Linked DNA regions of Astyanax mexicanus. The protein of the gene in region 1 purifies or fractionates together with the protein of each later gene. This does not show direct contact. Links are inferred from orthologs where the notes say so. Each region holds a gene or a part of one and is shown on either strand. Other genes may lie near its edges.

Region 1 (7,559 bases):
TGGGTGTAATGTCTGCCCTGCTAAAAAACAAGCTGATAAACTAGTAGTATTTGGAACAAGGAACACCTTGCTATATAATAAGCAGCTGACATATTCTGTATAATCTAATAAACACACAGAATATGACTTCAGTTTTTATTACAGGTGAATCAATAAAATGCAGTTGAGTTGTTTTCAGAATTAGACATGGCATTTCTGAATGGTCTACTCACTGAAGATCCCAGCACAGCCAGACAGTGGAGAAGTGACCCCATCCTAGCTTCCTCACTACATGATATCTGCCATTAAAGAGGTCTCCAATTTTCACTGGGTAATAGCCTCCTAAAACATGAACAAACATCAGGATTAAACTTCATTTATGATTTATTGTATTAAAAATTTAGATATTACAACACTAAAATCTGCCTGGAAATGTATTTCTAAATATTATGCAGTTTTAAATGCATAAACAGCTTAAACAATTATATGCAGGGTTCATACACTTTTTAACCAATACATTTCCATGATTTTTACATGACTTTCCCATGTTTTTAAGGCAAAAATTTTATGACCATGCGATCTTGAAAACATCAGTGCAGATATCTACCAGAAATCAACTAAAACTTTAATGATAAAAAAAATAATAATAATTTAAGCAATGAGTGTCAGATCCTGAGAGCTCCATTGTGTAGGGCTACATTACTGAATTAACTGAGCTGATGTATTTGTTAGCTCAAAACAGATTTTCTTAGTCAATAAATGGAAACACACACGTGTGAATTGCAAATTTCCATGCCTTCACCAAAACTTTCTGGGTATTTTTATTTTTCCAAAACTTATCCAGGCCATTATATGCATTTTAAAAGCGGCTACTACTTTATCAAATGTCAAACCTCTGCAGTAATCTGCTGGATTCTCCTGCTCTTCATCATCTGACCCAAGTAGTTCTGCTGGAGGTGGGGTAAAGTTTGGTGGGGGTGGGCTGAGAGCCTGTGGTGGGGTTGTCTGACTGGATAGTACTAATGGAGTAGGTGGAGTTGTGGAAAAAGCAGAAGGTAGGCCAAGGGAAGGAGCTATGGAAGAAGTAGTTGTCTCTGGTGATGGTAGTACTGTATGTGAGGGAAGCTCTGTGACTGGAACTGAGATGGGGGGTGAGGGAGGGATTAAGATGGGGGGTGAGTGCGGGGATGAGATGGGTGGTAAGTGTGGGGGTGAGATGATGGGTGAGTTAGGTTCTGAGATGGGGGGTGAGTGAGGGGCTGAGTTGGGGGGTGAGTGACGGGCTGAGATGTGGGACAAGTGAGGGATTGAAATGGGTTCAGAGTGAGCGATTGAAATGGGTTCAGAGTGAGGGACCGAGACAGGGGGCACAGGCTGAAGGTCTGGGGGGCTTTGCGAGAGGTTTAGTGGAGGAGAGGGGGCTCTGTCTGGAGGAGTGGTGGGTCTGTGGACGGTGAGGATGTGGCAGAAGTCATCTGAGGCCGGGATCTGGGGCCTGTGGACATTGTCATAAGATAAATGAGAAAAAAAACATAGCATGGTTAATTACAAATATATTAACATTAAAACAAGGGCAATAGTAATGTGCTTTAGTACTACACCAACCAAAGGGTCTTATAGTCCCAGACATTACCACTTCAGTGGACTGGATCCTACCCATTTCTACTAAAGTCTTTGTACTTGACTTAAAGGTGCCTTGCTATTAGTTTCAAGCAATGCGTCTTATGCGTCATATAGAGATCCACGTAAACACAACAGCGAGTGGAAATGGAGGAGCTACTGAACGTGATGTAACGTGACCAAGAAAGCCAATTGCAGTCCAGATACAAGAGTTTTATCACTGAGTAGAAGTGTGAAATAATCCCAAAACTAATCCCGTCCAGATAGGGCTAGTATCTCATAATTAGGATTTAGTATCTCATAATTTGAACTGTTCTAATATGCAGAAATGAGTCTGGGCTCCTATGGAATAACAGAATTCAACATTTCACTCTGGTTGACAATGTTGTGCAAGTAGAAAGAAGGGCTCTGGATGTGTTCCTAACATGAGCATTGTTGAGGTTACATTAAAATAGGAACACACACGTAGGTAGAGAGAGAGAGAGAGAGAGAGAGAGAGAGAGAGAGAGAGAGAAGGAGGGGAAAGAGGGCATGAGTCAATGTGCATATCTGGAGAAGTGAGTCCCTCGACCGCCCTCATGTATTTTTAGCACATACTCACACACGGAGAGAGAGAGAGCAAACCCAGGCGCACAAATCTGGGCCATATCCCAGACTGGTGCAGCTTACCCGAGCTCCAGGCTGGGGACGAGCTCCCTGGTGGCTTTCCGGTGCTTCTTGCTTTTCTTTTTGTGTTTCTTGCCCGGGTTGCTGCTCTGCGGGAGGCTGTTAGCGCTGGACACTGTGTGTCAGAGAGCACAGTTAGCTGACTAGCTAGTTAGCCAGGTTAACTAACACTATTAGCATAGCAGTTAGCTAGCTAAACTAAGCTAAGCTAACTAGCTATTTTAGCTAACCTAGCTCACATATTCACAACCACAATTCTTGCCTCTTAACAGCATAAACTCATTGAGACAAATACATTTTAATAGTTTAGCAAATGAAAACAGACACTATTTAAGGCTGTCCCTGAATGTAAATTATTTTAACATATCATTTTTATATAATATGTTTCATAGTTCTTTCCAAATACAAACCGCTCAACAAACGCTCACTTGGGCCGCGCTCCAATCCGCACCCTCGCCTCCTACCGCTAACACTACATAGGCCACAATCCAAACCAAGACACTGTAGGCTATGTCCGCACCGACAAAGCGCCCTAGCTAGGGCAAGCGTTCTCTAATTGGACAGCGGCCCAGGATTTGCTAGCATAAAACAGCTCTGCTTGTAAGAGGAGCCGCAGAACAGCGCTAACATCGCCCGTTCTTGACTTAAACACTTAAATTACGGTATATTACGGCGTAAACGACAACAATACAACTGTTCGTATCTAAAAACACACTAAAACGATTTAAAAGGCTGTTTAAAAACTCCTCACCGTTCGTCGATATCATCAGGGCTGCAGCTGTCAGCGCGAGAACACTTTCTGTGCCTCTGTCTGCGCATGCGCGTGAGGGAGGCTTGGCCCCCTCGCTGAGCAAGTGATGTTTGGGAGAACAGCTAAAAATAAATAAATGAATAAAATAATAATAAAAAGTGCATTAACTCATAAGAGCCCAGACCCAGCTCTGGAGTTTGAATTAGAATTTGAATTAGAGTTAGAATGCAAATTTAAATCCGTTAAATTATTTATATTAGGTTTTTTTTGGTCATTTTGATAAAAAGTGCACATGACTTAAAATTCCAATGCATAACATAAATGCCCAACTTTTTCATAACTGTTTAATATAACATTTTAATCGTATTTTAACATTTTGTTCTAGAAATTGGTCGACATCTAGTTGACCAAAATAGAAAATATGCAATTAATGCACTGAATTGTTTAAATGCTTGGTACATACATGTAGAAGCAGCAAATACACTTTTAATTTTAAAGTCAGGTGAATGAACACACATTTACACACTGTCCTGGGATCATGCACTCAGGATGTTCAGTATATGTCATTATTAGGAATTTAATCAGCCCTTTTTTAACAATCTATAGACAAGCAGTCAACCATGCTAAGTGTCTTTGCCATCATTTACATTATTGTTATTTTTTTATTATTATTTATGGCTGACACTCGTATCCAATGCAACTTACAAAGTAATTCCTATTACAGAGTTGGCCCAGTGTAGTGTTAAGGAGTCTTGCCCAAGGACTCTTTTTGGTGTAGCCCAGCATCCACTCACCCAGACCTGGAATTGAACCCAGGTCTCCCACATGGTAGCTCACTTGCACACTTGGAGCTGTTATCCACTGATCCACACCATCATAACGACCCCCCAAAAAAGTTGAAAGTTTCCTTCAGCTTTCTGTTCCCGACAGTAGAAAAGGTTTAGAGCTGTCATATATATATATATATATATATATATATATATATATATATATATATATATATATATATATATATATATATATATATATATATATATATATATATATATTGAACATATTTGAAAGAACAAACATGTAATGTGTGCTGTGATGTTAAAAAATATAGTTAAATAAATTATAAATTAATTATAAAAAAATTTACATATGTAAAGCACTATAAATATAAATATCCATAAATTGATTCTTTCCCAAATCTGATAATTGACATATTTTTTTAATTCATGTTGAAATGACCAATACACATGAAAACATAAAAATATATAAATAAATAACAAAATACAAACAAACAAACAAAAAAAAACCCATCCAGTTTCACTGTTAAAATTATAACTTTATTTTTTTTTATTTCTCATACAAATTTCATGATTCCACTCATTACAACATTTTGGCTCCCAATTTCTCCACAATGGAGACATTATGGTATGTATAACCAAGTTGAAAAAAAAAGAGAAAAAAAAAATGATTTTTTTTTTCTTCATAGTATTTACAGGTACATATACACAGCTGTTAGCAAACTATACCCAGTACAAATACAAAAAAAGAACTGGAGTCTAGAACAGAAGGCCTAGGCTCTTTTTAACCCCAGTTCCTTAAAAAAATTACCTTTTTTCCCCTTGTACAAAAAACTGTAAAATATGGCAATTGGCAAAGGCTCCACGAACACCGTTCAGACAGTCCGTACAGAACCGTGTCTACTGTCACTGTGGTGGAACGCTGAGGAACATCAGGAACAGTGCTGCAGGATTTGGCGAGACGGCGAGTTCCACAGACAGTTCGGGAAGAGGATTCAGTCTCTGTCTCTCGCTTTTCTCTCTGAGAAAAGTCTGTTTTTCTGGAGGTTTTCGCAGGCTGTCGCCTCGCCGCCATACACAAGGGCTTGCTAACACACACACACGTTACATTCAGAAACACACACTCAGATCTGGCCAGTGGAAAACCACAGGCACAAGTGCCATGCGCCCAGTAGCATACTGGCCGAAAAATAAAAAAGCCAATCAAATCAGCCAGTCAATCAAGCATGCAGAAGTCTAGAATAATTAAGACTACACTGAGAAGCCAAACACATTCAAATTCAGCCTAACAAACAAATAAACAAACAAACAAATAAACAAAAAGAAAATAACCCTCATATCTCTCCAGGGTTAGAATATTGTCCTGCTGTGGTTTAACCCCTCCACACACGCACCCCATCCGGACATTAGTACGAACCCTGATATCTCTAAATTACACATGAACTGAATAAATACACTAATAACATTGTCTTCATCATATCCCCCCCCCCCCTCACACACACACACTTACACACACAGGCCCCTAACACACACACAGGAGGAGGAGCCTGATGTGGATGAAAGCAGTCAGTCGTCAGCAGTACATGCTGGATAAATATACAGCACTGTGCAAAAGTCTCAGGACACAGGAGAATTCTTTAACGTTAAACACTTTTAAACATTTATTAGACAAATAATTAAATAGAAATTGTGGGCTGAACGAAAGCTATGGCATAGTATTTTTTATTAGTTAAATTTTACAAAGAAAAAAGTAAAGTAAAAGATTGTGCTATAAATCCAAAAGTTTGTGAACAGCCTTTTTAATGAATGCATTCAGCAACATTTCTTACATTTTTAAAAATATTTTTTCCTCCCCAATTTACAAGGCCAATTACCCAACACCAGGAGGGTACAGTATACATCAGCTCACAGACGCAGCCCTGTGCAGATCGACATCACCTTAGGACTAATGAGGAGAAAGAGCACCATCTACTGTACCCACCCAGAGAGAGCAAGGCCAATTGTGCTCTCTCAGGGCTCCGGCAGCTGATGGCTCTGTTTATAAATAGAAATAAAAGGGGAATCTGTAATACTCATGTTGAGATGAGACACAGAATTCAGCACAACATAACAAACACATGAACCACGGTTCCAAATCTGATCCTAAGACTTTTAGGTCAGAAAACACCCTAAGACCCTAAGACTTTTGCACAGTTCTGTATATACGTATCTCTTCAGAATACCTTAGGAAAAAACATATGAATGGTAAGGTGAATAAAAGCTATCAGTCATCAGCAGCCCCCTTTATTTATCTGAGACTGCAAAGTCCGTCCAACAGTACATACCTTTTATTTATAAAATTTTTTATTGACTTTCCTACACTTACAGTCGCTCAGCTTTAACACGAGTGCCTGAATTAGGGCACACACCCCTTTCACACTATCAGGAAACACACTAGCTTTCTAAACCATTTCTAAAGGAAGGGAAAAAGGCAAGAGTGTAAACACAAAGTGCTACAGGCAAAGAGTAACAAAAATGTAAAAAAAAAAAAAATCTAATTCGAGCTGTACTTCAGAAACATCAAGAAAAAAGAATTTACAAATGATTACAATCCTGTTTTAATTCTAAAATAATTTCTATGTACAATATCCTCACCTGGGACATCTAAAAAACGAAAAAATAAAATAATAAAAAAAAATAAATCAGATCGAACACTCGAAGTCGGAACATTTCAAAACTGAAGAACGGTGGAAAACCCTGTTAAACAGAAGGCGGCTGTACACACAAGCATACAGGAATACTGAATACTGAAATCACCAGGAAGGGTAGCTGTGACCCTGAGATGCTGAGAAGCTGCGGTCAGATTAATATTCTTCCAGTGAAAAATGTAAAAAATTATAATTATCAAAAAACAGAAGAATAAACAGAACAGTGGTGTAAATGAAGGTCAGAAAAGAAATCAGTTCAGGCCAGCCCTTGTCTTTCCACACTAATTCACACAGTCTACAGCTGTGGCTCCGTCTCCTCTCCTCTATTTGGCAATTAACGTCAAGCTTGATTACTGTATACTGTAATTGGTAATCGATATAAAAGGTTACAAAGAAGGCACATTTGGTAGTCGTGTATAAATAAGCGCTATTTACAGTACAAATAAGTTAGTTTCTATTCAGTGTCTGATCTACACGGGTTCCCAGGACAACTGCTGCTCTTTTTTTATTATTATTATTATTATTTTAAATCACTGTAACCAAGCAACAAAGCTGACTGGCTCCGCCCATCGCCCTGACCACAAGTCACCAATCACCAATCACACGTGCTCTCACTCACCCGTTTCTAAACGCCACGTCCTACGTATTTTTTTTCTCGTCCAGTTTTATGTTGCAACATTTTAGCTACATCTGAGGCAACACACGTTAGCTTTAGCATTAGCTCCACACTCTTTCTTTTACCCTCCCCACCCCACTGTACACATGTAATATATATATTTATATTTGATCTAGTCTTTGAAGTCTAAGCAGCAATCACACATATATCATATATCAAGACCATGTATCAAACCTTCTGTCCTTCAGTTAATGTATTGGTAATTGGCAGCATTTCATATATAAAAGCCAACATGATTTTTATCAGGTAAAGAAGAAGATAAACAAATAAATACAGCAGAAGAGCACAACATCAAGTTCTACGAAGTATTACATTTCTGGTTCTTTTTCTGATTACGGGTATTTTCTGATTTTGGTATTACAAATAATAAAAAAAAAACAATAATAACA
Region 2 (7,386 bases), on another chromosome or scaffold:
AATAGATCACTTTGTGTTAATACATCTTTACATTTACAACTGAATTACTGAAATAAAGTAACTTTTCAATGATATTCTATTTTTTTTAGATGCACTAGTACTACAAAAAGAACCCAAACCTCTCTGATATTTCTTCACTGCCGTCATCATGTCCCTCTTCTGCTTCTGCCTCTTCTGGAGAACCTCCACTTGTACCTAGAAAGCAAAAAACCCTTAGCAACAACTCAAACTGTTTAAATACTTTAAAATAAACGTCGGTTTTGAGGTCTGACCTTTTTGCCGAACTTCCTCTGTTCTCTCAGCTTCTTGGCCTTTTCAGAATTCTCCATTGCTACTTGCTTCTGCATGAGCTTCTTCCTGATCTGAAAGAAAAAGACAAATTAATAAGGACAGTGCTGTGTTTACATTTTATTGGAATACCACAATGATAAATACATTTTCTACTAGGACATTCACTTGGACATAACTTGGATTCGCTTGTTAAGTTGAGGTGAGTTTTAGACAGAGTAGAAGACAATCAGTACTGTATGGTACATATAATACATTTTTTCAGTGAAGCTGCTGTTAATGAATGTTTTTTTTGCTAGGGGTGCTCCATATCATATGTTCATGAAAAAAAAAACAAAAAAAAAAAAACGTGTATACGTGCTAATTACTAATAAGCATTGAGGGTTTTTTTTGTATAATAATTTTTTTGCTTAACTTTACACTGTTTCTATGAAACATTATTGTCTGTCAGATTATGTTGTTACAATTTTGGAAGGATACTTTTTTTTTTAATAAAAAAAAACACTTTTTATTTGTTTGTTCTGCTGAATGTTAAAATACATAAATAAAATTACACTGTTTTTGTCTTTCACTGAAGAATATAATTATCGCAAAAATATTTTAATAGTTTGTGCATGTTATTTTTGTAATCTATATGCATTTAACAATGTTATATGTTGTTCTGTCCATTGAATATTGAACTACTATGCTAGCACAGAATGAACCAAGACTGCTACAGTGCACAGTGACAGTACGCTTGTGTTCTCACGCTCTGTTCATTTATAGAAGCTAAAATGAGGCAAGAACTTACCTTCTGCATATGCTGATCAGTCTTGGACATCTCTGCAAAGTAATCATCAGGCCTTTTAGTAAAAATATTCAGCTTCTTTAACTTTGGAAGGGCCTCAAGAACAGTTGCTTGAGCCTGTCGATAGCTGGAAACACAACAATAAAGAGAAACCTCCAGATTAATCATCCTTTAAGAGTGATTTTACTGCTCCTTAATATCTGACTGGTAATAATTCATACATAAAGTGCGCGGGATTAAAAAGCCTTCATAATACAAGGACTTCATAATAAAAGTCCTCAGTCCAGCTCATATACTTATAAAAAAAATATGCTCCATATATAATTTGGCATGTGTGACTGTCTTCTATAACAGTTTTTAAATGTTTAGGTGAATAAAGGTGAAGTTATAATAAATAGATCTAGTGTTGTAAGAGATATACATCATTTATACTATTAAAAACAACAGCAAAGGATATTTATTCTTTGGCTCCAAAGCTTTGAGATTTTTTTTAAACAGAACTCATACTTACAAATACATTTCCCTCTGAAAATCGTCCTCAGGATTGACGTCGTCGTTGCTCGGTCTTCCTTCAGCTTTGGCCAGAACGTCATCTACTGGTTTGTTGGTGAGGTCCAGCCTCTCGACCCAAGGCAGGTTCTTCTTAAAGTCAGCCAGGCACTTCTTCAGCCCCTCCTTGTAGAACAGAACAGAGGTGTGTTGGTTTTGCTAAATAGTATCTCTAGAGAAATAAAGTAATAATAAGTAAATTAGGGAACTCACTACGTTGTTGACGGCCTTCTTTGGTTCTTCTAGAGGAATATTTAAACCAGGTTTGAGAAGTCCTTTGGCAAAAGCCTCCTGGAGCTGAATGGAGATGAGAAGAAGGTTAGGTAAAGCGTAGATTTGCAGGATTTCAGTGAGTTTGCTTTGTGACATCATTAGTTGGTAAAAATAAAATGGTGAGTATTTTTTTATGGCCCAAAATTTTAAAAAGTCCTTGAAAATCACAATGGAAAATCAGAGAAATAGGATTATTCCAGGCAAGGGTATTTTTGCAATAACGATATACTTGGCAAAATAGAAAAACAGAAAAACAATTCATTAATTTCAGGAATATAGTATAATAGTATAACAGAATAATCGTAATGTGGCAAAATAAATAAAATAGCATAAAATAATATGCAGATAAAAAAAATGCAGAATATTTTCATGCATATAAAGTGCAAACTAAAACAATTATACAATAAATACACCTAAAGCTTTACAGTAAATAATAGACTACATTTAAGACAAAGCATCCCTTTTATCACGATATGGATTTTTAATATCATGATAAATATGTGTCACGATATATTGTATACGACATAATATTGCCCACCTCTAGTGTTGAGTTTCAATATCTGAGACTCTTAGGCTATCAGAAACTACATATCAAACATGTATAATGTGTGTTAAGACTCCTCTGAAGGTCGTAAAGATTTTTGTTCACACTGTTCATTATTTATTTTTGTTCATATTCGCTAGATTGCAGTTGGATCTACCAGTTCCACCTTAAATGGGTCTGCAGTCACTTACTGTAAGTTAAATGCAGCTCCAGTTAAGGTGGAACTGACAATACACAAAGTAAGCTGGTTATTATAAACAAAACTTAAATCTATACGACATCCAAAACGGTCGCAAAATACAACTCGTTCTATCGAAGTGACTTTAGACTCGTTTAAAAAACAATTACCATCGATAGAAATACAATACTACCTTAAAACATTTTAAACAACACAGTTCTCACCTCCCCATCAGATAATTCCTCATATTCCTCTTCAGACTCCAGCCCCAGCTGACTGTCCTCCTCTATATCTACCATTTTAACACTGAAAAACTTCGTTATGATGATAAAAAACACGTTATTAAAGGCTATCGTTTCTTTTCACGTGTGATTCAAGCTCTCACAGCGTGGGCAAACAACGCTGCGGCACAGATCGCGGTCCGGGTAGAACCAAGACTCTTCTGAGAACAGTTCCGACCTCGAGTGCGCTCCTCCAGTGGTTTAAAAAAAGGACTTTTATATTTTTAAATGTTTCATATCGCTTTTTTATTCAAAGTTTGAATATTGTTTCTTTTTGCTGTGGAATATTTTTTTTAAATTAAAATTGTGTCACCTTTTGAAAGGTATTTAATGTTTAGAAACATAAATAATTAATATTTTGTTAATAATTAATAAATATAACACTCTTGTATTAAACAATTCTATAAATGTATATACCATATTTTGCTTTCCATATTAATTGTAGGTCATTTTAAATATATTTAAAAAATATATAAGAAAAAAAATATATATCGCTAAACTAATAAAGACTTTTATTTTTTTATGTTTTAGATCTTTTTTTCATAAACGTTTAAATATTGTTTTTTTTGCTATGGAATATACTTTTAGAGTACTATAAAATTTAAATGTTGTATCCTTTTTAATAGCTCTATATTTAGAAACATAAATAAACTAGTAATTATTGTTATATGAATATTTTTAAACACTTGTAACGTAATTAAAAATATTTATAAATGTATAAACAGTACTATATTTTCCTTTCTATCTTAATTGTAGATGATCTTTGCTTTTTTTTTTAAATCTACGTTGTATTGAGTACTTTTTGTAGTATAAAATACTTTTATTTTGTTTACACGCAAAAAAAATGTGCGTATTTTTTTTTTTTCAAAATAATAAAATAAATGTTGATGCTGTACAGGCTGTATAATATGATATAATATGATTTAATATAATATAATATGATACAATTACTATATTTATATGTTTAAAATTAAACGTTAAATAATTATTTTTTTTTTTTAGGCAAACCTTTTATTAGTATTTTGTATGATATGTTATTATTAAAGTTATTATTTATTCGTTATTTATTTTATTTCATTTTACTTTACTTTATTGTATCACGTGTGCGTGGGGTTGCCTAGTAACGCTGCAGCTTTGCGTTAACGTGGTTACAGTAAACCGTGGCTGTTAGCTGTTAGCAGGCGATTTATCTCGCGATTTTTTTTATTTTATGTGCTTTTAAAGAGTTTATAAAAGTTCTGGTTCTGTTCACTACCGCTGGATTGGCTCTTATTCGGTAAGTTTCTCTACTAAACAAGAGGCACTGAGGCACTTTATCAGACATAACTGTGTATTAAAAAACACAGGAAACCTACCAATGCACTCCAAACATATATATATGTATATATGTATATATATAAGTAGATTGTTTATATTTTTATGTAAATATTTATTTTTATTTTATGAAACTTTTATATAACTTTTTTAAACAGTAAAAAAAATCTCATTTTTTTTTTTTTGTCCAATGCAGCAGTTGAGGCTAAGGTGCTGTTTTTGATTGGCTGATTAATGTCAATTATGTTGGACAACAGGCCTCAATCTGTATTAAATGCAAAACTACAAAAATATAAGAAAACAGATGTTGTTCATTGCAACAGATGCAGGGTCTGAAAGGGTTAAGGTGCAGAACGTGGGTACATGTGGGTTTCATGGGTCTGGATTTGCCATATTTGCTAGTCTGTCCCCGTTTTAGACTATTCTGTACACTAATATTGACTTACTAAGAACCAGCATGTGTTTTATATTATATGTATTATGATTTACTGTGTCTAAAACTGCCCTTCTCTCCATTTTCCTTGAATTCCACAGATATTTCTTGAGCCATGGCTGCAGTAGTGGCTCAGTCTCACCATATCTTTGGCCTGAGGACTGGAGTAAATAATAACCTTCTGTTTTTCGATGAACACACTGTGGTTTTTCCTTGTGGAAATAACTGTGTGCGCTATGACCTCGATCAGGCATGCCAGAGTTTCATTCCAGGTGAGTGGACTAATGCAAATAGTAATTAAGATCGAATAAGTGGTTATAAAAAATAACATAACTTAAGTACAGACCTATTTTAGCCTAATTTAACACATGGGACACAAGGGATGATGACACCCTTTAGATCTGACATTTGCTCAAACATTTTGAAAAAGCAATGTCTTAGGCATCAGTGTCTTCATAACCTTTTGCTATAGTAACCTTCTTTTAAAGAGCTTCTAGGGCAGGGGTTGGCAATAGATAAAATGCTTCTCTGGTGAGCTTTTGTTTACATACCTCCCTCGTCTCCCTCTGTTGCGCTTGGTGCGACTTTAGTTTCTGCCCGTTCATGTTTTTCCACCCGTTATCGTGCTCCCTATGACTTGGCTGTGTCCAAATTCACTAGCCGGGGTAGTGGCAGTTTATTTATTCATTTTTTAAAATCGTTTCTTCTTGGGTTTTACCTGCTTTGAGATCAACTGTTCTACAATTGGGTTCAACAACCCTCTGGGCTGGAGTGCTGCTAGTCTGTAGCACTTCATCCCATTACACTTCATTTTCCTAAACAATTTTTTTATGGCCTGCCACATAATGGCTTGGAAAATACTGTATCTGGCCCATGGCCAAACTTAATTTCCGACCCCTGCTTTAGAGCATCTTGTTCTGTTCACTACTACTACAAATATTTCTGTTAGTTTATTTAGAACAGAGCATTTCACACCAAACCCACTCTGAATTTACATTTTAACCATTTAATTATGCAGATACTTTGATCAATTCTTTCTTCATTACCTCCTACAGGTACAGAGAGGAGCCAGAGCATGCAGGCTATGGCCATCAGCGCTAACCGGCGCTACCTGGCCGTGGCAGAGCACAAGGAGAAGGCTACCATAACCATTTATGACCTGCAGCACGAGCAGAGCCGCAGGAGGAAGGTTCTGACCGGTGGAGAGCTTCCAGTGCGGGAGTTCGTCTGCATGGCCTTCTCTCCTGACTCTAAATACCTCATAGGTCAGGCTGGAGGACCGGAGTGGACCCTGTTCTACTGGGTTTGGGAGAAGCATAAAATCATGGCCACGGTGAAGACCACCAGCACTGGTCCCATCCACCAGGTAGGATTGAACTGCATTTCCTCAAAAAAAGAAACCATGTTAAGCACTGCAACTATGATCAGAAGATCGCTGCTTCGAATTCTGTTCATGCAGCTTGCCATCAGCTGCCGGAGCCCTGAGAGAGCACAATTGTCCTTGCTCTCTCTTTGGGTGGGTACAGTAGATGGCGCTCTTTCCTCTTATCACTCCTAGGGTGATGTGGATGAGCACAAGGCTGCATCTGTGAGCTGATGTATCAAAAAGAGGCATGGTGTAATATTGCTTTAAAGAAAGAATTTAGTAAAAAAAATGGATATTTGGTTTAAGCATGTCCTGCTCTTCTCTCGTTCACAGGTCAGCTTCAGCCCTCAGGACAACATGCAGATCTGTGTGAGCGGCAACGGCTTGTTCAAGATCTTCCGTTACACTGAAGGGGCCTTAAAACAGACCAACTCTGTCAAAATGGAGCAACATAACATCCTGTCTCACGCCTGGATGTCCAAAGAAAGGATCATTGCTGGAACTGAGACGGGACGGCTGCTTGTGTTTGAGTCAGGGGACCAGCGCGGGAGCCTGAGCGTCACCAGTAAACCCTCCACACAGGAGCCAGAGAGGTAAGAGGATGTTTAATATTAATAACTGTCTCAATCCAGTGCTTGTTAGCAGTGTTAGCCTAGCATCTCCCATTCTAACTTAGGCGCAGAGCTTTTAGACCTCAAATAATGCAAAGAAAACAAGTTCATAAAATTTTAAGAGTTCAGAAATCAATATTTGGTGGAATAACCCTGGTAGTTTTTAATCACAGTTTTTTTCATGCATCTTGGCATCATGTTCTCCTCCACCAGTCTTACACACTGCTTTTGAATAACTTTATGCTTTACACTCCTGCTGCAAAAATTCAAGCAGTTCAGTTTGGTGGTTTGATGGTTTGTGATCATCCATCTTCCTCTTGATTATATTCCAGAGGTTTACAATTAGGTAAAATCAAAGAAAATCATAATTTTAAGTGGTCTCTTATTTTTTCCAGAGCTGTATAATTATCATTAATGGTTAGCTATCGAATCTGTTTTCCCGCTGCTTCCTTTTATCTTTCTACTATTTCCACTATTTACACAGTTTATAGACATAAAGCCTATTCTTCTGTTATGCTACAGTACACTGACTACTCTTTCATTTTTCTCATTGCCATTCTACATTTTGCCTTGCTTTGCTGTCCGACAGAAAAACAGACAGGAGGAAGTCGGAGGACACCTCCTCTTCACCGGCCTTATTGCCAAGAGTGACGGCCATCTCACCCTACTCTAAAGGATTCGCCTGTTCAGCCGGCCCAGGAACCGTGTGCCTTTTTGAAAAAACGGAAGAGAAGGACAGTTACAAGAAAACCAGAGAAATAA
Region 3 (8,036 bases), on another chromosome or scaffold:
AACGGATGGATGGATTGCTTTCAAACTTGGGGTGTATGTTTGGGGCAGTCGAGACCCAAGTGGAAATACAAAAACACACAAAAAGTGAGTTATTCATAATGTGTCCCTTTAATAAATTATTACTATAACCAGATAATGTAATAAACAAGGCTTGTGCAGTTATGGATGACTGATTTCTATTACAATTTAATAACTAATGTTATTAACTACTTATTAAGCTCCTTAATAGTAGCACTTACTTCACTGGCTTTGCTTAAGAAGTCCACCGGGTTCTCAGCCTTCAAGAACTCAGTGACTGAGAAAGTGTGAAACAAGATCATGTCACCCTCATTATAGCCTTCTGCCTATTATAGAAAGAAAGAAAGAAATAAAAATAAACGATAAAACAAGGATTATGGTAAACATTATATAATGCATTGTTAATGCAAGTTTTCTCGCTGTGAGCACACTTACTTTAGGTTTCTTGTCCGTGGCCAACTCCTTCACAGTCTTCACCTGCACCTCCACCTCTTTAAAGGCGTGCTTGGGGTCGAAGAATTTGTTATCAATTTTGTCTGGAGACAGAAACCCTAACAGAGCAGAAGAAAGGTGTTTTTACGAGTGCTATTTAAGACATAAAAAAAACAACAGTAGAGTAGAGGAATGCTACCTTGGCAGACGACAAAGATCTCGGCTGACTCATTACGAGAGGCCTGGGGTTTGGTGGCCTGCACCTTTTTAAAGAACTGCTGAAAGATCCACATCAGGGGTTGGTAGTCTTTGGAGCGAAAGACTTTAGTGACAAAAGACCCTCCTTTAGCAAGAAACTCACAGGCCAGCTTCAGTGCCATGAGAGTGAGATGAGCTGGGGAAAAGAGTTAAAACAGTAAGTCAACAAGCAGATTGAATCTTAGACGAAGTTCATTAGAATATGGCCATCTTTAATACATTCCTTAATTTTTGACTATACAAAAAATACCTTGAGAGAAGGCATCATGCTGCCAGTTGGCTCCTACGTTGGGTGCTCCATCATTAAGTACCACATCAACTTTCCATGTCTGCAGCTCTTTTCTGAGAGCCTGTTGGACAAAGATGCATCAGTTCCAGGTGGAGAATGACAATATGGAATCATTACAGTGATTAATTGATCATTACAGTATAGTAAAATGCAATAATTTTATTTAAAAATGCATCACACCTTCTATCACACCTTAAAATGCTAAACAACATTACCTAAATTGTGTAGTATATAAAAATCTACAAATTTCATGTTAGCTTTTATTATACCCTAAAGCTCGAAACACACTTCACACAAGCATGAAAAAAATGGGCGCTTTAAGCTACACAGACAGGGGTTTGTGTGTAACTGAATTAAAAAAAATGTGTCAATGTATTTCATGGTGCATTGATAATGCTATTTGCATTCTATGTGCTGCTTCAAAAGGCGATACAGTGACAGCCAAGTTGTCTTGTACTGCTACCATGCTTTTTGCCATTCACAGTCCCAGTGGTAACCCTGTACTGTTTACAGAAGCTAGGATATGTCCTATATTGCCCCCTGAGTACCATGGTGATTAACGCAAGACTGCATATTGAGTTTGAAAAGTAGGACCAAACATTTAAGGAGCATTATGTACTTACGAATTGTAATGGCAAATCTGCAATGAACTCCAGCAAAATAACACTAATCTGATCATTTTTGCAGGCTACCATAGATACCAGTCCTACCTGTCTGCACTTTTCAGTTGTGATGTCCTCCTGCAGGGCAACAACTCCAGGGATGGGTTTGATAGGGACCAGATCCACTCCTGACCACGAGAAAAGAAAGAACAGTAAGACAGGGCTGTCTAACCCCACTACTGACTGAATTAAAGCTCACTTTTTAACTGAAGTCTAAACTCACCAATAATAAGACTGGACACTGGCATAAACTTGGACGCCACCTGCAGCCTGTAAGCAGATTAAACCAATTAAACAATCACACAGATATCACCCCATGTGGACCTGCAGCAATACAACTAAAACATAATTCAGCCATGACATTTTACAGATCGGACATCTTACCATCCTCCAGGAGCAGCACAAAGATCCACAAGAGCTCTGGCTTTCTGGAGAAAGTTGAATTTACGGTTTAGCTGAATGAGCTTAAAAGATGAACGGGATCTGTAACCTGAAAAACAAAAAGCACAGCATTAAATCTTCTAAATTAAATATTTTTATTTTATTTTATTGCAGACTCACTATGTTTCTGCACCTAACTGTAAATGTGTACATCTGTATATTTTACAGCTTAAAATTATATTAGTAGGCCTGTCACAATAACAGTATTTTGGGTTTTATTGCATTTAAAAAAAACAGGCCAATTTTACGATAATAACCACATAATAAACCTTCACACTATATACATGGATGCCACACACACACAATACTTGGATACTAATATTTGTTCATAAATGAAAAAGCTTATAAAGACATTCCAAGAAAACAGAGGCCTGTTCTGCTGTTTTTTCCTTTGTGGGATATTTTGCTCAAACTAAAATAATACATTTCCAAAGTGACACAGAAACGCATGCAACAGTAAAGCAGAACAGGAGCTGAACCAAAACAAGAATTAATCTAAAATCAGTAACTACTTAATTAATAAAACGATACATACACTAAATGACAAGCAGAAGCCAAAATATAAAAACATCTGAAAGCCCTTAATCAGTGAGAGAAATTGAGTAACTTAAGTTAGCTAATTTAGCTATTCTGCTCTCTGTGTGGTTAAACTGCTGCTCACAGAGCTAAGCTAATGTTAGCCAGCTAGTTTAGCTTTAATACCCCAACAAACACCGAAACGGAGCTCCTGTTTCATTGGACTCACCGGTTTCTTTGGCCAGGTGATAAAACTTATCCTTTCGGGTCTTTCCGACCTTCAGTTTTTTACCCATATTCGCTTTTTAAAGATAAATACAGGCAGCCGGTGAGAGTCTGAAGCTTTAAACACGTCGAGCTCCTCAGTCAGACTCCACACGTGGGGGTTAGAGGCGCGTGGTGGTGGCGTCACATCTGCGAGTGGGGGACTGTCCCAATTGGTGAGATTTCCTTCTGTACACTTGTGCACCTCTAAGTGCACTGAGGTAAGAACAAGGGGTAGTTGCGTAAACCCACTATTACGTTCACGACCTTTGTCTTGCAGCTACTGAAAGTATAGTACTGAGACCATATTGTGCTGCTGTGCTTTCAAGACTTTCAAGACAATAAACGTTTTTTTGTTGTTGCATTAAGCCTTTTAATGTTGATGATGGAAAAACAACCTTTATTTATCATTATCTAATAGGCGTTGGTTGAAAGTCTTTGAATGGTTGCAGTTCTGATATGTAATAGGTGTTCTCCACAAAAAATATGATAAATAACGATTGATATTATTATTTAAATGTCCATTCCTACAATGTAGCAGAAATACAAGCAAGAAATACAACATTGATTGTAAAATTGATGTGAACTAATAAATCAATTCTGACATCGGAGGTCAAAATTGTTGTATTAAAGATGCAAGGATTAACTTCAATTTAGTGTACTTTTGCTACCTGGGTATGATTTCTCCATAGCTAACTATATAAGCTACACACAATACATACATACATTAAAAGTAAAGGTTTTATTTGTTTTGTTTTTTTATTATGATTTAGAGACCACTTAAAAATGACGAGTTTCTTTTATTTTACCATATTGAAAAACTCTGGAATATAATCAAGAGAAAGATGGATGATCACAAGCCATAAAACCAAGCTGTTCTGCTTGTGTTTTTTTTGCACCAGGAGTGACATAAAGTTATCTAAAAGGAGTGTGTAAGATTGGTGGAGGAGAACATGCCAACATATATGAAAACTGTAATTAAAAACCAGAGATATTCCACCAAATAATGATTTCTGAACTTTTTATGTACAGGTGTTACTGTATTATTATCAGTACATCTTAAATAACATAAAGCTAGTAGTAAAAAAAGTACAAACCATCCAAGTACTGGAGATTTGCATTCTTATGAAACCCTTGAACCCGAGTGCGTTTATTGGAGCGCGACCATTAATAAGTATAAGGGCACTTTTTATTTATATTTTATTTTAGACTGTATTTTATTAATTGTTTAAATATAAATTGGATATTATATACTAAATTATGAGAAATAAATAAATAGAAAAATGAAAATATGTTTCCAGCCGCGTTTCCAGTTTAAGGGGCGTGTGTAAACACGCTGACGCAATCAGCGGTCGCAGCGCGTGCATGGCTCTGGGCTCGTAGAAGGCTCCAGATAAACATGGCGGCGTACATGCGACTGTGGGCTCCGTACAGACAGGCGCTGCAGACCCGCTCCAGCGCCTTCAGCGCTGAAATCAGAGCGCTGTTCCGGAGCCAGACACCCGGCCACAGCGGGCAAACCCCGACCCGAGCGTATGCCTACAGCTCCGGCCTCAAGCCGCTGTGCGGCATCGGTTCTCCTCCAGCGGCGGGCGTCAGGGCATGGAGCCGGGTCTCCGCCGTCCTCCCCGGGTGGAGGGACGCCTCAGGACCCGGTTGGTCGGTCAGCTCCGAGCGCAGGGGCTATATGATGGGGAACCGGGGCAGCGGACCCGGCGGGCTGTCCGGGGAGGATGGAGCGGAGAGCAGCGGGGCTGGCCCGGATGATGCGGGCGGGGATGGAGAGGGAGGCGGGTATGGAGCTCCTCAGATGACCGCTTTGACACCTATGATGGTGCCAGAGGTTTTTCCTAACGTTCCTCTGATCGCAGTCACCAGGAACCCTGTTTTCCCACGTTTCATAAAGATCATCGAGGTTAGTAGTCACTCAGATCCATGGTTCAGTAACTAGTTTACAGCTAGTTATACTGCAAGTCCAGCCGTATCTACACACTTCTAACTAATTAACCCAGCTAGTTAGCTGGTGTGTTCAGCTGTTTAGATAAGGTGAACTTTTTGCTGACACTGAATGTGTGATGTATAACCCTAAGGCCACCAGGGTTAATGTCAGGTGTGTACTGTGGGGTTCTCTGGAGCTGGAGAACCAGTAAGCCACCTTTGAAATTAGCTGGAGTGACAGTACTAATCAGAAATAACCATTAAACGTCAGTACCTGACCATAATAACTGTATCTGTTGTAATATGGTTGATTGCAATCAAAGATTCAATACAGCAATGTTCAAGTGGTCAGTAAAGACTTTCTAGAAGAGTAGAGATTGTTTTTGAAGAAAACTGGGAGAAATATAAATACATTTAAAGGGTTTATGTCCATACAAATGTTTTGGACATACATTGTCATTGACAACTGGGGGTGGGAAATATCGGCCTAAAATAATAATCATAAACTAATATAATATAATAAAGAAATAATCTCAGTATTATTACATATATATTCAAATTAATTTCTAGATTATACTTCTGCAAAAAAATACTAACCAAAAAGAGCCCATGCTAAGGTATGTGTCACAAACCCTGTAGAAGATCTAGAAAATCCTTACTGCTCTTTGTCATTTTAAGTCATGAAGTCCTTAAGTGACACATACTGTACATAATGTGTTTATTTAAATAATGTAGGAGTGCTGGGTTATTGCTTGAGATAAAACTAGCTCCCTTTAAAAGAGAAACTTTGACTTTTACAGATCTGTTTAACCAATTCACATGCTTTAATTAAATGTTCCACAATCCTTGTTAGTACATCTGACACTAGTTCTAGAACTAAAAGTTAAAATCATGAAATAGTTGTTCTGTCATTTCTGTTACATCAGGCTTTTAACCTTAAAATATTTACAGTTAAGTGGCAACAATAAGAAAAAATGAGGGAGCTGCTCTGGGCACTTATGGGTTAAAACGTTATTGAGTATATATATAATATATATATAAATTAGTTCAATCTAAACTGCAGTTAAAATATGTTGCTTTTAAGATTTTTTTAGATCATGTCTATTTTGGAGATATTATTGCATGCATGCAAGAGGATGTGGCCCATTCCTATTACTATTCCCACTTCTAAACAGTGCATGTAAATGAGAGAGGTGCAGTTGTTTCACTACAGTCAAAGTGAGGGTATTCACTGTAACAGAATGGCTTGAATGAAATGGTTAACCCCTAGCAGGGTTGACATGGGCTCCCCCTGGATCTTTGTTGGTGCACAATGAGTTAAAGAGACCTCTCTTAATTGTTTTGTAGGCTGGGAAAATACTCTTGTTGTTCCTCCAATATGAATGTAACACAGTGCTGCTGTCCAACAAAATCAGGCATCTCCAGAATTTATCTTTCCAGGAGTGTTCTCTAACTTTTACTGTAATATTTTGGAGTTTTTCTGTTGTCATAGTGTTGCCATAATGTAATGAGAAGCTTCTAAAACAATTGGGATATATTTTGATTACCAGCTAAATCCATAATAGCAACATATGTTAACCTACAGTATAAAATATATCAATAATTAAAAATAATAAAAGTTTCTTGTAACATAAATGTATTAGGATCAGAAAAGTTTAAGCCCCAAAAATGAAGCTGTGCCATTCACATAAATTGAGACCATTACTGATGTGCCACAAATCATGGGACAAGAACTGTTATTGTGTCCCATGACTTTTGCCATGTCCCATGGAAGCTAAATTACAATGCAGTGACCTGTGGGTCTGTGTGTGGATCATCCTTGATTTGAGATGGACAGATCTAGCCACATGACACTGGTCATGATCATTACCACCCACTGCACTTTTCCACTGTTGGGTGGTAATGTCTTCTATGACATTCGTCTGACCTTCGCTATCAGGCCTCACTTGAACTCTGTTTGTTCATAGTGCCTTGCCATGAGCACTATGTTCAGTCTCACTCACCTCAACGTCTTTTGGCATATCAGTGTAAATTACTCTTTTAACCAGTTCTGCACTCTTTTTCTCTCTCTTTCCAGGTGAAAAATAAGCAGCTGATGGACTTGCTGAGAAGAAAAGTACGACTTGCTCAGCCATACGCCGGTGTCTTTCTCAAGAAGGATGATGGGTATGGATCTAAGAAAGTTTTATTATTTGAACTCTTACTTGAATGACCATTTGACTATATTGTCTCATTTCTCTTTCTTTTTTTAATCAGTGATGAGTCAGATGTTGTGGCAAATTTGGATGCCGTCTACAACACAGGGACTTTTGTTCAGATCCATGAGATGCAGGACCTTGGCGACAAACTTCGCATGATTGTAATGGGACACAGAAGGTAGTTCATCGTTTTAAATCAAAGACCCACAGCAGAGTTTTGTACCATATTTTTTGCACTGTAATATGTATTATAAGGCACACTATCAATGAACACCTATTTTATGGTCTATTTTCATACATAAGGCGCACTGGATTATAAGGCACATTTAAGTTAAGTAAAGCTAAGCTAAGTAAACAAAACAAATAAAAAAAAAAGAATGCTGGATGTTAATCTACAAAGATTTTCAGCGCTTGCCGGGCTTAGCAGCAGGCTACAGGCCGATAATACTCGCCTCTGAAGGGGGAAATAGCGGTTAGCAGCTAATGCTAATGCTACTCCAGCCCCAGTGCTGGAGAACTTAACTGAAATATTTTCTTTTATAACGCTGTACTTCAGCAGAGTGACTTTACTTCTCCTCACCACCTGACTGGTAAAAGTCCATACTAAAGCGCACCAGACTAAAAGGCACACTGACGATTTTTGGGAAAATGAAAGGATTTTAAGTGCGCCTTATAGTGCGAAAAATACTGTAATTGTGATTTCATTATTTCATTGTTTTGTAAAATTCTGAAACTGAAAAATGCTGCAGCTGGAAAAAGATTTTAGATATTTTATATATTTTACATTTTAGACATATAATTTGAGTCTGTCCGCATTTAAATGCTGTGTGTGTGCACATCAGCATATCTATGGATGTGTTTGACCTGCCCACTGGTCTGTGCATTTCTTTTACTGTGTTCATTTAGTTTCTACAGTGTGAGATTTGGATAAAAAGCCCATTAACTAATGGTTCTGTAAAGTTGCTTTTTGACAGGATCAGTTGTAAAAAGCGCTATATAAATACATTTTATATTATTGAT

The links.
Region 2: the proteins of srpk3 (region 1) and ebna1bp2 purify together in Homo sapiens (affinity purification with mass spectrometry; 3 studies listed by BioGRID and IntAct, with this or other methods). This does not show direct contact. The link is inferred for Astyanax mexicanus from reciprocal best matches to the Homo sapiens genes SRPK3 and EBNA1BP2.
Region 3: the proteins of srpk3 (region 1) and ftsj3 purify together in Homo sapiens (affinity purification with mass spectrometry; 3 studies listed by BioGRID and IntAct, with this or other methods). This does not show direct contact. The link is inferred for Astyanax mexicanus from reciprocal best matches to the Homo sapiens genes SRPK3 and FTSJ3.

The regions. Positions count from the first base shown.
Region 1 is NC_064419.1:4,598,511-4,606,069, reverse strand, and holds the start of srpk3 (SRSF protein kinase 3), read right to left. Parts: upstream 3,097-7,559; 5' UTR 3,033-3,096; coding exon 3,017-3,032; intron 2,381-3,016; coding exon 2,269-2,380; intron 1,475-2,268; coding exon 873-1,474; intron 322-872; coding exon 213-321; intron 1-212. UniProt on the Homo sapiens protein: Serine/arginine-rich protein-specific kinase which specifically phosphorylates its substrates at serine residues located in regions rich in arginine/serine dipeptides, known as RS domains.
Region 2 is NC_064415.1:56,522,459-56,529,844, reverse strand, and holds the start of ebna1bp2 (probable rRNA-processing protein EBP2), read right to left. Parts: upstream 3,058-7,386; 5' UTR 2,919-3,057; coding exon 2,844-2,918; intron 1,922-2,843; coding exon 1,838-1,921; intron 1,751-1,837; coding exon 1,587-1,750; intron 1,203-1,586; coding exon 1,079-1,202; intron 363-1,078; coding exon 273-362; intron 196-272; coding exon 120-195; intron 1-119. Other genes in the region: cfap57 (cilia- and flagella-associated protein 57), read left to right, coding at 4,763-4,919, 5,703-6,013, 6,347-6,606, 7,214-7,386. UniProt on the Homo sapiens protein: Required for the processing of the 27S pre-rRNA.
Region 3 is NC_064423.1:28,670,932-28,678,967, forward strand, and holds the start of ftsj3 (pre-rRNA 2'-O-ribose RNA methyltransferase FTSJ3), read right to left. Parts: upstream 3,018-8,036; 5' UTR 2,913-3,017; coding exon 2,846-2,912; intron 2,150-2,845; coding exon 2,044-2,149; intron 1,930-2,043; coding exon 1,883-1,929; intron 1,788-1,882; coding exon 1,708-1,787; intron 1,059-1,707; coding exon 959-1,058; intron 845-958; coding exon 650-844; intron 570-649; coding exon 454-569; intron 345-453; coding exon 240-344; intron 1-239. Other genes in the region: lonp1 (lon protease homolog, mitochondrial), read left to right, coding at 4,280-4,795, 6,896-6,984, 7,075-7,194.